Linked DNA regions of Saccharomyces cerevisiae S288C. The protein of the gene in region 2 interacts with the protein of the main gene of each other region in a biochemical or structural test. Each region holds a gene or a part of one and is shown on either strand. Other genes may lie near its edges.

Region 1 (4,638 bases), on a different chromosome or scaffold from region 2:
CGGCGCTGCCGCCGGGGGAAACATCGTGCTCGTTATCATCGTCACCAGTGTCTGAGGCCCTTTCCACCAAATACCAGAACTTATAGACAAGCAACCTATCACCCTCATGAAGGTACGAACCTACGCTTGGAATGAGTTTATCGATCTGAATCGGATACGGCAAGCCTTGGGGAGACCTTATTTGTGTGGTCATAATCTGCTTTGCTTGTGTTTACACGTTCGCGGTCAATGCAAGTACCGCTATATGACTAAATACAGTACCCTGGCTGCTAATTAAAGGGGGAAGGGGTGATTGATTGGGATGATTAGCTCGTTGTTATTATGTGTTTATTACTGTAGGTGTGAAACGAAAATTTTTTTTTTTCTTTCGCAAGGGCGCGTCTTCCAAAAGTGTCCAGATATTATGATGATATTATTGATGGATACATGTAATACGTAGATTAAATATATGCCGATAGAGTAGGGTAAAAGTATATAGGTTGCGGCATCTAGACGTTTATTTAAACATCGCCGTTCAGTAGTGAATCAAGAGCGCCTTGGACGGAGCCACCGCTTCTCCTGAGGGCTGCGACGTTTCTATCGAAATCGAAGAAGCCCATGTCGTTTAGTTGTCTTAATTGATGTTCATAGCGTTCTTCCGGTGGTCTGGTGTCTTCTGCTTGAGATGCTTGTACAGGGGGTTGGAACATAGACGCTAGCAATGCAGGATCGAAGGCGGGCATCCCGGTGGATGCAGCGTTTCCCGCGTTAGCAAAGGGGTTTAATGCAGGGTTCAGAAGAGACGCAAATGGGTTTGCAGCTGTGTTAGCGCCTGCGTTGGTACCTGCATTAGTCCCTGCGTTGTTCCCTGTGTTGGATGAGGAAGTAGTGTTCGTGTTGGAGCCTTCCTCTGGAGCATCGCCACCAGGAGCGGGGAAGGCAGAGGCAGCCCCACCTGCAGAGCCCATACCGGCATTAGGGTCCATCATTCTTGCGAATTGCATGCTCTGTCTAATCATATCAGGATTGGTGAGCATCTGTCTAAACATGGGACTTTGTAGCATTTGCCTGGCTTGTGGACCCATGGCCTGCAATTGCGGGTTGGACTGGATCATAAAGTCCAACATCTGAGGGTTACTCAACATCTCGTTCATTTGCGATTGGAAGATGGGGTTTTCCATCATCCTCAACAGCTCGTCTTGGTTATTCGAGTCGTTGTTTAATGCACCACCGTCCGGGCCAAACATGTCTGCAGATGGCATATTCAAATATCCAGCGTATCTGGCACTGGTCAAGTCGGCCAGCGGATTGAAGCCTGCACTTTGACCTGACGACATGTTCGGGGTGGCGCCAGTGCCAGCTGCTGCACCGGTGGCGGTGGCGTTATTTGCGCCAGCGGCACTGGCGGTTTGTGGTTTGGGTTGTGACTTGACCAGATGGACGCTGTGACCGTCTTGAATGTGGTATGACTCCACGGTTTGGTCGTCCTTTAAAATCTTACCCGAGTAGATCAATCTCTGATTTGCCACCGGGATACCGTTCGCTTTGTTTATCGCCTCCTTGAATTGCAACACTGTGCTTTCAGGTGCCACATTTACTTCCCACTTGTCTTGTCCTGACTTGATATGTATATTCAACGACATTATCGTGCTAGAATGATTCGGTGTCTTTGATCCGTCTTATTTGCCTCTCGTCCATCGGTGGATTGAACTTAAAACTGGCTTTAAATTGTTCTTTCCCTTCAGCGGGCCGTGACCCGCTCTCAGAGGCTATTTTAATAATGATAAAAGTATTGCAATGAAGAGCCGCATAGTGATTATGGAAAGAAGCTCTTAGCAAGGGCGAAAAGAGACTGTTCGTGTGTGTCAACAGGTATATCGTACGCTAAATGGCCAAAGATTTGAACGATTCGGGGTTTCCACCGAAGAGGAAGCCTTTGCTGCGTCCTCAACGATCTGATTTTACCGCAAATAGTTCGACAACTATGAACGTTAATGCAAACACAAGGGGGCGTGGTAGGCAGAAACAAGAGGGTGGTAAAGGCAGTTCGAGGTCACCGTCGTTACACTCTCCAAAATCATGGATAAGAAGCGCGTCTGCTACGGGGATCCTTGGACTAAGACGTCCCGAACTAGCACATTCTCATTCGCATGCTCCTTCCACCGGAACGCCTGCTGGAGGTAATCGTTCTCCTTTGAGAAGATCAACTGCAAATGCGACCCCCGTCGAGACCGGAAGGTCCTTGACCGACGGAGATATCAACAATGTTGTTGATGTACTGCCCTCATTTGAGATGTACAATACCCTGCATAGGCACATTCCGCAGGGCAACGTCGATCCAGATAGGCATGATTTCCCACCTTCATACCAAGAGGCCAATAATTCTACTGCAACAGGTGCTGCGGGCTCGAGCGCTGATCTCTCACATCAATCATTGTCCACTGACGCATTGGGTGCCACACGTTCTTCGTCAACATCAAATTTAGAAAACTTAATTCCCCTTCGAACCGAACATCACAGTATTGCAGCACATCAATCAACCGCTGTCGATGAAGATTCACTGGATATACCTCCCATACTTGATGACTTGAACGATACAGACAACATTTTCATCGACAAATTGTACACTTTACCAAAAATGTCCACACCCATCGAAATCACCATCAAGACGACGAAGCATGCACCTATACCACACGTGAAGCCGGAGGAGGAGTCCATTTTGAAAGAGTATACGTCGGGGGATTTGATTCATGGTTTTATCACTATTGAAAACAAATCTCAAGCAAACCTAAAGTTTGAAATGTTCTATGTCACTTTAGAGTCTTACATTTCCATTATTGATAAAGTAAAGAGTAAAAGAACGATTAAACGGTTTTTAAGGATGGTAGACTTGAGCGCTTCTTGGTCATACTCGAAAATAGCACTGGGGTCCGGTGTGGACTTCATTCCCGCAGATGTTGACTACGATGGTTCTGTATTTGGGCTAAACAATAGCCGGGTTCTGGAACCCGGAGTCAAGTACAAGAAATTCTTCATTTTCAAATTGCCACTGCAATTGCTAGATGTCACTTGTAAGCAGGAGCATTTCTCTCATTGTTTGTTACCTCCCAGTTTTGGTATTGATAAATATAGGAACAATTGCAAATATTCCGGTATCAAAGTCAATAGGGTACTTGGGTGCGGTCATTTAGGTACAAAGGGCTCCCCCATCTTAACTAACGATATGTCTGATGACAACCTTTCGATCAATTACACTATTGATGCAAGGATTGTCGGTAAAGATCAAAAGGCCTCTAAACTGTATATTATGAAGGAAAGAGAATATAATCTAAGAGTAATCCCTTTTGGTTTTGACGCCAATGTCGTCGGAGAAAGAACCACTATGAGTCAGCTGAATGATATCACCAAACTAGTGCAGGAAAGGTTGGATGCTCTTAGAAAAATCTTTCAGAGATTAGAGAAAAAAGAACCCATAACGAACCGCGACATTCACGGTGCAGACTTGAGTGGTACCATTGATGATTCTATTGAATCAGACTCCCAAGAAATTTTGCAGAGGAAATTGGACCAACTGCACATTAAGAACAGAAATAACTATTTAGTCAACTATAACGATTTGAAGTTGGGCCACGATTTGGACAATGGCCGCAGTGGAAATAGTGGTCATAATACCGATACTTCCAGAGCTTGGGGTCCCTTTGTTGAAAGTGAACTAAAATATAAACTGAAAAACAAATCCAATTCCTCCTCATTTCTGAACTTCTCTCATTTTTTAAACAGCAGTTCCAGCTCAATGTCCTCTTCCTCAAATGCGGGAAAGAATAATCATGATTTAACGGGAAATAAAGAAAGGACAGGGCTAATACTAGTAAAGGCGAAAATTCCAAAACAGGGCCTACCATATTGGGCTCCCTCATTATTGAGAAAGACCAATGTTTTTGAATCTAAGAGTAAACACGACCAAGAAAATTGGGTGAGATTGTCTGAGTTGATTCCGGAAGACGTAAAAAAACCATTGGAAAAACTTGATTTACAATTGACTTGCATAGAATCCGATAATAGCTTACCTCATGATCCGCCAGAAATTCAATCGATTACCACAGAACTGATATGTATAACTGCTAAATCTGATAATTCTATCCCAATAAAACTCAATTCTGAACTGTTGATGAACAAAGAGAAGCTGACAAGCATCAAAGCTTTGTACGATGATTTCCATTCAAAAATTTGTGAATATGAAACCAAGTTCAACAAGAATTTTCTTGAATTAAATGAGTTATATAATATGAATAGGGGAGACCGTAGGCCAAAGGAACTGAAATTTACAGATTTTATTACTTCACAGCTGTTTAACGATATCGAAAGCATTTGCAACTTGAAAGTTAGTGTTCACAACTTATCCAACATTTTTAAAAAACAGGTCAGTACCCTAAAACAACACTCAAAGCACGCATTATCTGAGGATTCAATATCGCACACAGGTAACGGTAGTTCATCGTCGCCCAGTTCAGCGTCATTAACGCCAGTAACTTCTTCATCCAAGAGTAGTTTATTTTTACCTAGCGGTAGCTCGTCTACTTCCCTGAAATTTACAGACCAGATTGTTCATAAATGGGTTAGGATTGCTCCTTTACAGTACAAACGAGACATTAATGTGAA
Region 2 (5,369 bases):
AGTGTATGACTTTTACAACCTTTAGCAAGTATAATGGTTTGTGAAAAGAACCGTAAAATATAATCGTCATCTTAATAAGTTGCTAATGAATGATCACTGAAATTTCTACAGCAACAAAATTTATAACTCAAGTACAGTCGTGTTTTGCTTTCACTACGATCAATAGTATTATTATTACCGATGATTCCACTGTTAGTGTTATTATATTCAAGAGTGTACACTTCTCGCTAAGTAATGAAGAAATTTGCACATCTCATGTGTACACTCATTATACAAGATCACTTTCAACAAGCATTGAGTCACTAGAAAATTACAAATTATTTTCCCAGGAGGTGTAAAATGGCATATGTTTCTGCTGTCCTTGAAAAAAGTATGGAATAACCAGAAGCTTTGATAGAAAACGCCGAGGATAATACTCTGTGTAAAGCTCTAACCTTCATTCATTTTGTCACATTATCCACCTACTTGAATTCTAATTTAGAATACGAGTCGAAATAGTCTCGAAGAATAACTCACAACCTTTTTCCTATTATCTGTATGCTATACATGCCGCTGATTTTTCATTTTTTTCACTTTTAAGAGTAGAAAAAAGAAACGAAGTGTACATAATTAACTAAAGCCACTTGAAACAAATAATCAAAAAGTTCAAAACACCGATTGTTAAGAAAGATGTCGCCTTTGAGAAAGACGGTTCCTGAATTTTTGGCACACTTAAAATCACTGCCAATTTCAAAAATTGCAAGCAACGATGTGTTAACAATATGTGTTGGTAACGAGTCAGCAGATATGGACTCAATTGCTAGTGCAATCACTTATTCGTACTGCCAATACATATATAATGAAGGTACTTACTCGGAGGAGAAAAAGAAAGGAAGCTTTATTGTCCCAATTATCGACATTCCTAGAGAAGACCTCAGTTTAAGAAGAGACGTAATGTATGTCCTAGAAAAACTGAAAATTAAGGAGGAGGAATTATTCTTCATTGAAGATTTAAAGAGCTTGAAGCAAAATGTCTCCCAGGGTACTGAATTAAACTCTTACTTGGTAGATAATAACGATACACCAAAGAATTTGAAAAATTATATAGATAACGTCGTTGGCATTATAGACCACCATTTTGACTTGCAAAAACATTTGGATGCTGAACCTCGGATTGTAAAAGTGTCCGGCAGTTGCTCATCGCTGGTTTTTAACTACTGGTATGAAAAATTGCAAGGTGACCGTGAAGTGGTGATGAACATTGCACCACTTTTGATGGGGGCCATCTTAATAGACACTTCAAATATGAGGCGCAAAGTCGAGGAAAGTGATAAATTAGCTATCGAGAGATGCCAAGCTGTTCTTAGTGGTGCGGTTAATGAAGTGTCTGCGCAAGGTTTAGAGGACAGCAGTGAGTTTTATAAAGAGATAAAATCAAGAAAGAACGATATTAAAGGATTTTCGGTAAGCGATATTCTAAAGAAGGACTACAAACAATTCAATTTCCAAGGAAAGGGACACAAAGGGTTAGAGATTGGTCTTTCATCAATAGTAAAAAGAATGTCTTGGCTATTCAATGAACACGGTGGTGAAGCAGATTTCGTCAACCAATGCAGAAGATTTCAGGCGGAGAGGGGGCTCGATGTATTGGTTCTGTTGACTTCATGGAGGAAAGCTGGTGATTCACACAGAGAATTGGTCATATTGGGAGACTCTAACGTGGTACGTGAACTCATTGAAAGGGTTAGCGACAAGCTCCAACTTCAATTATTTGGGGGCAATCTTGATGGAGGTGTGGCGATGTTTAAGCAACTGAACGTCGAGGCCACCAGAAAGCAAGTCGTCCCCTATTTAGAGGAAGCGTACTCAAACCTGGAAGAGTGAAGGGAGATGTTATATATGCTTTATTTGGTTTATATATGACCCATATAGATATTTTTGTACACTACTATTTGTCTTGGTGTTGTTCAGGCTGTTCAGACTGCTCAGGCTGATCTTGTTGTTGTTGCTGCTGTCTTAACCTTTCCTGTCTTTGCTGCTCTTCTTCCATAGACAGACGCAAGGCCATTGCCAGTTCTGGGTCCATTGATGGGTCTACCCCGAAGTCCATAAATGTGCCATTGGCATCGGAATCACCGCCAGACCCACCAAAGGCGCCCATACCGGAGGATCCTTCTTCGAGAATTATGGGTGAAGATGCGATGTTCTCGTACAGCAGTCTGGGGCCAGGCGTCACAGTAAGCAAATGACTAGTTTCTTCTTGAGGGTTGTTCACTGCAGCTATGAACTCATCCAAAAGCTCCGTGTTCTGTTCAATCTCTCCAAAATTGATGATGTCCACGGCAACATTATTCTTTTTCAGTGTTTTTGCCAATCTGATCAATTCGTCTCGAGAATCACTTATTGGGCTACACACAAATGCCACAATCCTTTGATGTTGGACCTTATTCTGGCGATGCTTCAAAGTCAGCTGAGCGATCTGCAACGCAGTGGCCATATGCAGCTTACCCTCGATCTGCGTGTCGTGTAGTCCAGCAAGAATCTTCCCAAACTCGGCGGTAAACGTAGATAACACCCTGGGGTTGGCGCCAGCACCAGAGATAAGACCCACTGTATTCTCAGGATTGCTGTTTCTCTTGGCTTGAAATATGAACTCTACCGAGTCGATCTGGGCTTCAAACCTTGTCCTAGGAAAGTCGCCATTGCGAGAGTACTCTGAATTATCAATCACTAACACTGTAGCTTCCAATACCATTGTGCGGTTACTGCTGAGTTATTTATTGACTTTTCCCTTCTTTCTTTACGCTTTAAAAGTCTGATATAAGTGTGTATTTAGTTGTAAATTCCGGTGGCGAAAACCCGCCTGGCGGAAATAACCCGGCAGCTATAATGCCATATAACTTCAAGAGAATACAATTGTAAACAAGAAGTGGCAACAACATCAGCAAAAGGGCAGCTGCCGCACTCGGTTACGATGATACCGGCTCTCACTCCCGAAGAACGGCAGAAGTTGCGCAGCGCAATACTACATCGAATGCAGCTGGAACGTATGTCACCTCACCGCAACACTCTACCCCCAACCTTCACCCGCACTAATTACTAACACAACCTCAGTGGAAACAACAGAAAAACTGATCGAAAATATTAAAGAGGAGACGTTAAAGAAACTAAATCTGCTCCAGCAGCCTGATGCAACATCAGCGCCTCAATCAAAGGAACTAATCAGAGAGGTGCTTGAACAGGAAGGACGCCGTATAGAATGATTAGTTCGTATAATGGACCCTTTCTCGGTATTCGCAATGATGCACCTATTACTAATCAGCGGCCGATTTGTTGGTATTAAAGCAGCGTGTGGTTACATCCCCTTGTTGAATACATGTCTACTTAGCAGAAGGCCAGGTATATGGAAACATGCGTTTAATCAGTAAAGTTTTGGTGAAAACAAATTGCCTAGAGGTAGGTATGAGGAGGGCCCCACAATGGTATTCTCACTACTCTACTACAGCGGGCAATGCTCGTGTGAACAAGAAGGGCAGCAAAGTAGTGCCTGTGTTAACAGGGTTAGCACTGGCATCCATATTCGCGAAGAAATGGTATGACGATTCCCAGATCAAAAAGGCGGATGCCACCAGCGTTGCAGTGGACGCATCCATCTCTGCGTTCCCTAAGAAGATGGGCCCCCCACAGTGGCCCTTCTCCACGCAATATGAGCTGATTGGTAAGGGTGTACGTTGTGTCTCATCGATCACTTTCAAAGCATATGGTCTGGGCATATATGTGGCCGCTGAAGACAAACATCTGGTCTCTGAAGTACTGGACTCAAAGTTCCTGTCTCAGGCGTTCATCGACACTGCGGCACCCCCATCACCGGAAAACTCACATCAGGATAATTTGCGTGCGGCTTTGAACGATCCTGCTAAGGCCCCTATCCTGATTAATAACCTCTTAGACAGCGGAATCAGACTAATGTCCAAGAATACTCCGATAAAAGCAGGTTCCTTCAAGTTATTGATGGACGGCACCAAAAAGAGCGTCCTAAAGAACCCAGATTCTCAGTCTCAAGACAAAGACCGGCTGGAAGCTGGATTCCAAGAATTGCATGACTGTTTCAGGAGCGTAAAAGGACTTGTGGCTCGAGATGATGATTTTTTCATTGAGCTGAATAAGGACTGCTCTATGAATTTGTCTTACTACGCAAGAAAGAAGGATGAATTTGTGATATTGGGCACAGTGAAGGAACCCCTTATTGGAAAGCTCTTATTTGCCCACTACCTAGCTGCTGTGGATCCTCCTTCTCCGGAGGCTAGGAAGGAAGTAATCGATGCACTCGTCTCTCTATCTTAGGACACTTTCGCCGACTTCTACATACAATTACATAATACATACGCTGTTCCAAAAGCTGCACATATACTCTAATGATGTTTTTTTGAGTTTCCTTTCGACTCAATTTTTCTAGGAGGGACCCCTCAAAATGTTTACAATGCTATTCGGTTTTGACAAGAAAAAATCAATTCAAAACTCTTACGGCGTTACAACCGCGATAGAATCCCTTCATGGACAGAGGAAGGTGCGCCAATATGCTAAAATCACTCCAGCGAACACTAGCTAAATGTCAGAAATCTCCATCAACCAACCATTGGCAATGTTTCAAAAGAAATTTTACTAGTATACGAGCCACTAAATACCCTGGGCGTTCTAATTCGACGTTCCACTATTGGCCCTGGTTTGCGGCGTCAACATTGCTCGCTACTTCGTTATACTACCGTGATCGTCCGGTACAAAATGACGATAAAACTGATGCTTTTCCTTCTCATACTGAATCGATACAGGTAGACTCTAGCGTATCAGATTTCCCACTAACGATTACTGCTTTAAATTTCCCTGTCTCTACAACTTTTAAATTACTGGGATATGGTCAAAGGCACGTCACGTTTTTGAGGTTCAAGGTCTATGCCTTGGGTCTTTATCTAGCTGAAAATGACGAAAACCTTGTTTCAGACACTCTAAATGAAACTTATTTACATAAATATTTCCTTGATGTGGATGATTCTAAGACTCCTAAGGAGAATCTAGCTAGATTATTGAAACGTGATGACTCAAAATCCGTTATGATGATTGATGACTTACTGGATTCTGGAATGAGAATGCTAGCCAAGATAACTCCCGTAAGGAATACAGATTTTAAGCATCTTAAGGAGGGCCTGGTCAAAACTATTTCTAAACATCCCGATGTGGCCAATAATAAAGACACACTGGCGAAGGGCCTAAGTGAGTTAAATGATGCCTTTTCACGTAAGGGATCCGTCAGGAAAAATGACGATTTGATCATCGAATTATTAGCCAACGGCGCTTTACAATTTTCATATCATGACAGTAAAAACAACGAATTT
Region 3 (4,651 bases), on a different chromosome or scaffold from region 2:
GACATTTAATTGATTAGGGTCGAAATTTTCCACATATGAGCCTAGCAATCGGTTTAGCAAATTAGCAGCTAAAGACTCTAACATTTAACTGTTCTTAATTTTCCTTTTTTCTGCCTTTTCCCTTTTGGTAGTCACAATATTCTATCCGTATCAAATTAAATAGAGTTAAAAGGTTGACTCAATTGGTCGGCTTATGTGCGTTTACTGGAGATTGAAACATGATAGGACACTATAAAGGTGGTTTATATTCCCTAATAAAAATCCCTTTCTATCAAAATAGCTAATGGTATTACCCGGCTTCGCGAAAATAGTGAACGTCATAGTATAAGACGATTCAAAAATCCAAGCTCTTGAAAACCAACATGAATAAAGACAATAACACAGTTGAACAATTTATTTAGTGTTCTATGGAGTATTTATCAAAAAAAAAAAAAAACCAAAAAGAAAAAAGGAGAGTAAACATATATATATTGACATAATGAAAATATTGCGAGGACTGATCAGTTACCACCCCTCAACCTCAAGACAAGGTGAAGAGTGGACTCCTTTTGAATATTGTAGTCCGACAGCGTTCTACCATCTTCTAGTTGCTTACCGGCAAAAATCAATCTTTGCTGGTCTGGAGGAATACCTTCCTTGTCTTGAATTTTCGACTTAACGTTGTCAATAGTGTCAGAAGATTCAACCTCTAGGGTTATAGTCTTACCTGTCAGTGTCTTGACAAAAATTTGCATACCACCTCTCAGTCTCAACACCAAGTGAAGAGTAGATTCCTTTTGGATGTTGTAGTCAGACAAGGTTCTACCATCTTCTAGTTGCTTACCAGCAAAAATCAATCTCTGTTGATCCGGAGGGATACCTTCTTTATCTTGAATTTTACTTTTGACGTTGTCAATAGTGTCGGAAGATTCAACCTCTAGGGTTATAGTCTTCCCTGTTAGAGTTTTGACGAAAATTTGCATACCACCTCTCAATCTCAACACCAAATGCAACGTAGACTCTTTCTGAATGTTATAATCAGACAGCGTTCTACCGTCTTCCAGTTGCTTACCAGCAAAAATCAATCTTTGTTGATCTGGAGGAATACCTTCCTTGTCTTGAATTTTCGACTTAACGTTGTCGATAGTGTCAGAAGATTCAACCTCTAGGGTTATAGTCTTACCTGTCAGTGTCTTGACAAAAATTTGCATACCACCTCTCAGTCTCAACACCAAGTGAAGAGTAGATTCCTTTTGGATGTTGTAGTCAGACAAGGTTCTACCATCTTCTAGCTGCTTACCGGCAAAGATCAACCTCTGTTGATCCGGAGGGATACCTTCCTTGTCCTGGATTTTCGACTTAACGTTATCGATCGTGTCGGAGGATTCAACCTCTAAAGTGATGGTTTTACCGGTCAAAGTCTTAACAAAGATCTGCATACCACCTCTTAGCCTTAGCACAAGATGTAAGGTGGACTCCTTCTGAATGTTGTAATCAGACAGCGTTCTACCGTCTTCTAGCTGCTTACCGGCAAAGATCAATCTTTGTTGATCTGGAGGGATACCTTCCTTGTCTTGAATTTTCGACTTAACGTTGTCGATGGTATCGGAAGATTCAACTTCCAATGTTATGGTTTTACCGGTCAAAGTCTTGACGAAAATCTGCATAATCTATTAGTTAAAGTAAAGTGGGAGGGAGAGTTCGAGAGTTCTTGTCGTATTGTAGTAGATAGAAGATATACTTATCCTTATCCGTACAGTTCTTGCTCTTTCTGAAGTAGCACTTTCGGAAGAAGAAAGATAAGCAGGCGAATTCAAAGGTGGCAAAACCCGGAGCCTCTCTATATATACCCCCAAAAGGAGGAACCGCCCTCAAATGACACTGAATTCTAAAAACAACTGATAAGTGGCATCGCCCCTGAAAAAAGAAACGAAGTGGGGTAACCACCGTGTGTGGCCGGATGTACGGCTGTGTGATGCTCCACTGGGCGGCTATTTTTTTTTTTGGTACCGAAATTGGTTTATCCAGGATTATTCTAGAACGTTCTAGAAACAATACTGACCACAAAGACTTTTCGGAATAGAATATTGTCAAACAAGAACTTTTTCACTTTCTTTTCATAAAACGTCACTTTCATCACTTTTGCAGGATTTCCCACAGTTCGTTTAAAGGGACATTTCCTATCATGGGTTGCCCTGCGCGAATAAGATGATTGGTCAAGGAAGACTCTAAAATCATCTGAACGGGTTATTTGAAGACTTGGGTCTAAATGAGAGCTTGCTTATTCCACCCGCCACGCCGGGCGTATCTTCACTGTCTTCTTCGGCCAGGGGATCCAAAGAGAATCGGGCATATTCGTGCGTATTCCTTGTCCGTTGTCTCTGGAAATCTAAGCTAGTGCTGGTGGTGGGAGGCTTTGCTTTCTTTTCTAAGCTTTGTCGCGTGAGCTCGCTTCTCATTTCCTCCAGCTTCAAATGGCTATTGTCCGTGGACTTCCTGCCCGGAGTCGATATGCTTGAGCGGAATTGTATTACATCCTTGCGTTGTTTTTCTAGTAACCCGTCGTCTTGCAGCAGCCCCAGAACGTTCCTGCTTAGCTTTTGAATATCTTCCGCCTTACGTTCATCCCGAGGATCCTGAACCTGAAAATCCTCCAGGATCTCAATTAGTATCATGTTTCCTTTCAGCCACTTGATGAATTCATTGGACCCGTTATTCATCAGATATGAGACCAAAGTCAGCGTCTTCATCACCTGGATACAATTTCGATGAGAATTTCTTCTGTTCTGCCCAAGTAGCAATCGCTTCCGGATTACCTGGATGATTTCTCGTACTGTCTTGGGGCTGTAGGTCAAGATTGATATTTCGTTCATAAGCGTCCCCGTTGCTCCACTTGTTTCGTCCTCGTTGGTAGCCTGTTTCACCTTTGATTCCGTCGGTGATTGAATAAAACTCTTGAAGGTATCTAACAAAGGCATCACGACCCCCTCACTATATGTGTACTCGTTCTTTGACACCTTTATGCTTTCTAGGCTTATTCAACACATAACCTCAATTTTCGTTTTCTCATTCTTTTTTCTTTTTTTTTTTTTCTCACTAAAGCGTTGTCCTAGAGATGTAAAAAGAGAAGGAAATGAAATTTTTACTGGAAATGTTACTACTATTACACAGGTTTATTTAGAAAGTACAAACGTGTCAGCGTATTTAGGGTGTCAATGCAACAATATTGAAACTATCATTTGTCTTCAGAATAGCGGCAATACCACCATCTCCGCATACCACGTCCATATCAGTGAAATCGGCAGTGTCGCTTTGCAAACAGAGGGCGCTCTCCTCGTCTTTAGTCCAATTTTTTGTTTTCTTGTCAAATTTGTATATCGTCAGCGAATTGCTCTCGTTTGAGTATGCAATCATATTCTTTCCAGAGTCGTCAATGTCATAGGTAACGGTGCCCGTCTTGAATTCTGGGATTGTGTAAGTTGGATACGCTAGCGTGCCGACATCCTTTCTTAGGTCAAAGCAAACCACAGTTTGGTCACACTCTACTACCATCCAGTACCCATTGTCTGCAAATTTAACCTCTTTTATCTTGGCTTCTTCATCTACGGGGAATCTAGAGCTTGCCTGGTCAGGTGATGACAAGTTGTAAACGTCTAATATACCGTCCGGAGAGTAAAGGGCTAATAATAATGAATCCTTATGTAGGACACCGCTGCTGTACTCAACATCTGATTTAGCAGAATGAACAATATACTGGGAATCATCCTCGTAGGATTGAAATCCTATGGTTCCTCTATTATCCGCCCAGATGAAGTACTCTGTGTTGACCTCGTTGTGACCATACATATATATAATCTCATTGGCGGAATCTACCTCTATTTCTCTGAGGACTTTGTTTGTTTTTGAGTCCAATATAGTTATTTGGTTACCTGGATATAGTAGTAGCAAACGATTACAAGGCCCTCTGGAAATAATAGCTGGATGCTCTCCCCCGGTACGGGGATTTGGTGTAGTTATTGTGGTAATCGTTTTCGAATCTTTTAATTGGGTAAAATGTAAAGCACCATCCTCACAGCGACACATGCACACCCATTTATCATAGTACATAGATTTGTTAAGCTCTTTATATGGGAATGTTTTGATGTTACGGGAGTAATTTTGTGCCTGTAATAGCTCCAAATTTTTTAAAATCGGCCATTTGGGTGCTTTGAGCTTGCCCCTCGCTACAAAGTCTCTAGAAGATTGTAACAGCCCTTGTAAAAATTCTTCTCTCGTAATAGCTACCGCTTGCTGTGAGGATTTGGGTAAATCCTTCGAATCTTCGTTTTTTTCCATCAATAGTTGCGCAGCGACCAACTTTGCAGCATCTCTTTCGTACATTACAGTCGACAGTTTTTTCGTTAAACTATCTAGAGTTGATCGTAACTTAAAGTTTTCGAGCATTATAGCATCCCATTCATTCTGTAAACTTGTCAACAGATTCGGAATCGAATAATTCGCTTTTAACGTAGCAGAGTTTGTAGACTCTGTTAGTGAGGCTTGTTGCGCACTAGGTACGATTTCCACTATTTCTTCGATGCTTAAGGGCTCATTTGTTATCGGATCATTCCCCGTATCTTTAACATACTGTTCAAGGAGCGACTTTTCAAAAATAGTCCTGGATTTAGGTGAT

What was found. Proteins that work in one complex are often made in the same cells at the same time.
Region 1: the proteins of RPN10 (region 2) and DSK2 form a complex in vitro, tested with the Saccharomyces cerevisiae proteins (7 studies listed by BioGRID, with this or other methods).
Region 3: the proteins of RPN10 (region 2) and UBI4 form a complex in vitro, tested with the Saccharomyces cerevisiae proteins (14 studies listed by BioGRID, with this or other methods).

The regions. Positions count from the first base shown.
Region 1 is NC_001145.3:815,811-820,448, reverse strand, and holds DSK2 (ubiquitin domain-containing protein DSK2), read right to left. Parts: upstream 1,623-4,638; coding exon 501-1,622; downstream 1-500. Other genes in the region: FCP1 (protein serine/threonine phosphatase), read right to left, coding at 1-193; ubiquitin-ubiquitin ligase BUL1, read left to right, coding at 1,868-4,638. UniProt on the Saccharomyces cerevisiae protein: Involved, with RAD23 in spindle pole body duplication. Involved in the ubiquitin-proteasome proteolytic pathway.
Region 2 is NC_001140.6:496,444-501,812, reverse strand, and holds RPN10 (proteasome regulatory particle base subunit RPN10), read right to left. Parts: upstream 2,735-5,369; coding exon 1,928-2,734; downstream 1-1,927. Other genes in the region: PPX1 (exopolyphosphatase), read left to right, coding at 670-1,863; NBL1 (borealin), read left to right, coding at 2,954-3,026, 3,094-3,242; AIM46 (Aim46p), read left to right, coding at 3,391-4,323; AIM18 (Aim18p), read left to right, coding at 4,533-5,369. UniProt on the Saccharomyces cerevisiae protein: Multiubiquitin binding protein.
Region 3 is NC_001144.5:63,562-68,212, forward strand, and holds UBI4 (ubiquitin), read right to left. Parts: upstream 1,647-4,651; coding exon 501-1,646; downstream 1-500. Other genes in the region: membrane morphogenesis protein VPS13, read right to left, coding at 1-84; ENT4 (Ent4p), read right to left, coding at 2,214-2,957; E3 ubiquitin-protein ligase PRP19, read right to left, coding at 3,184-4,651. UniProt on the Saccharomyces cerevisiae protein: Ubiquitin exists either covalently attached to another protein, or free (unanchored).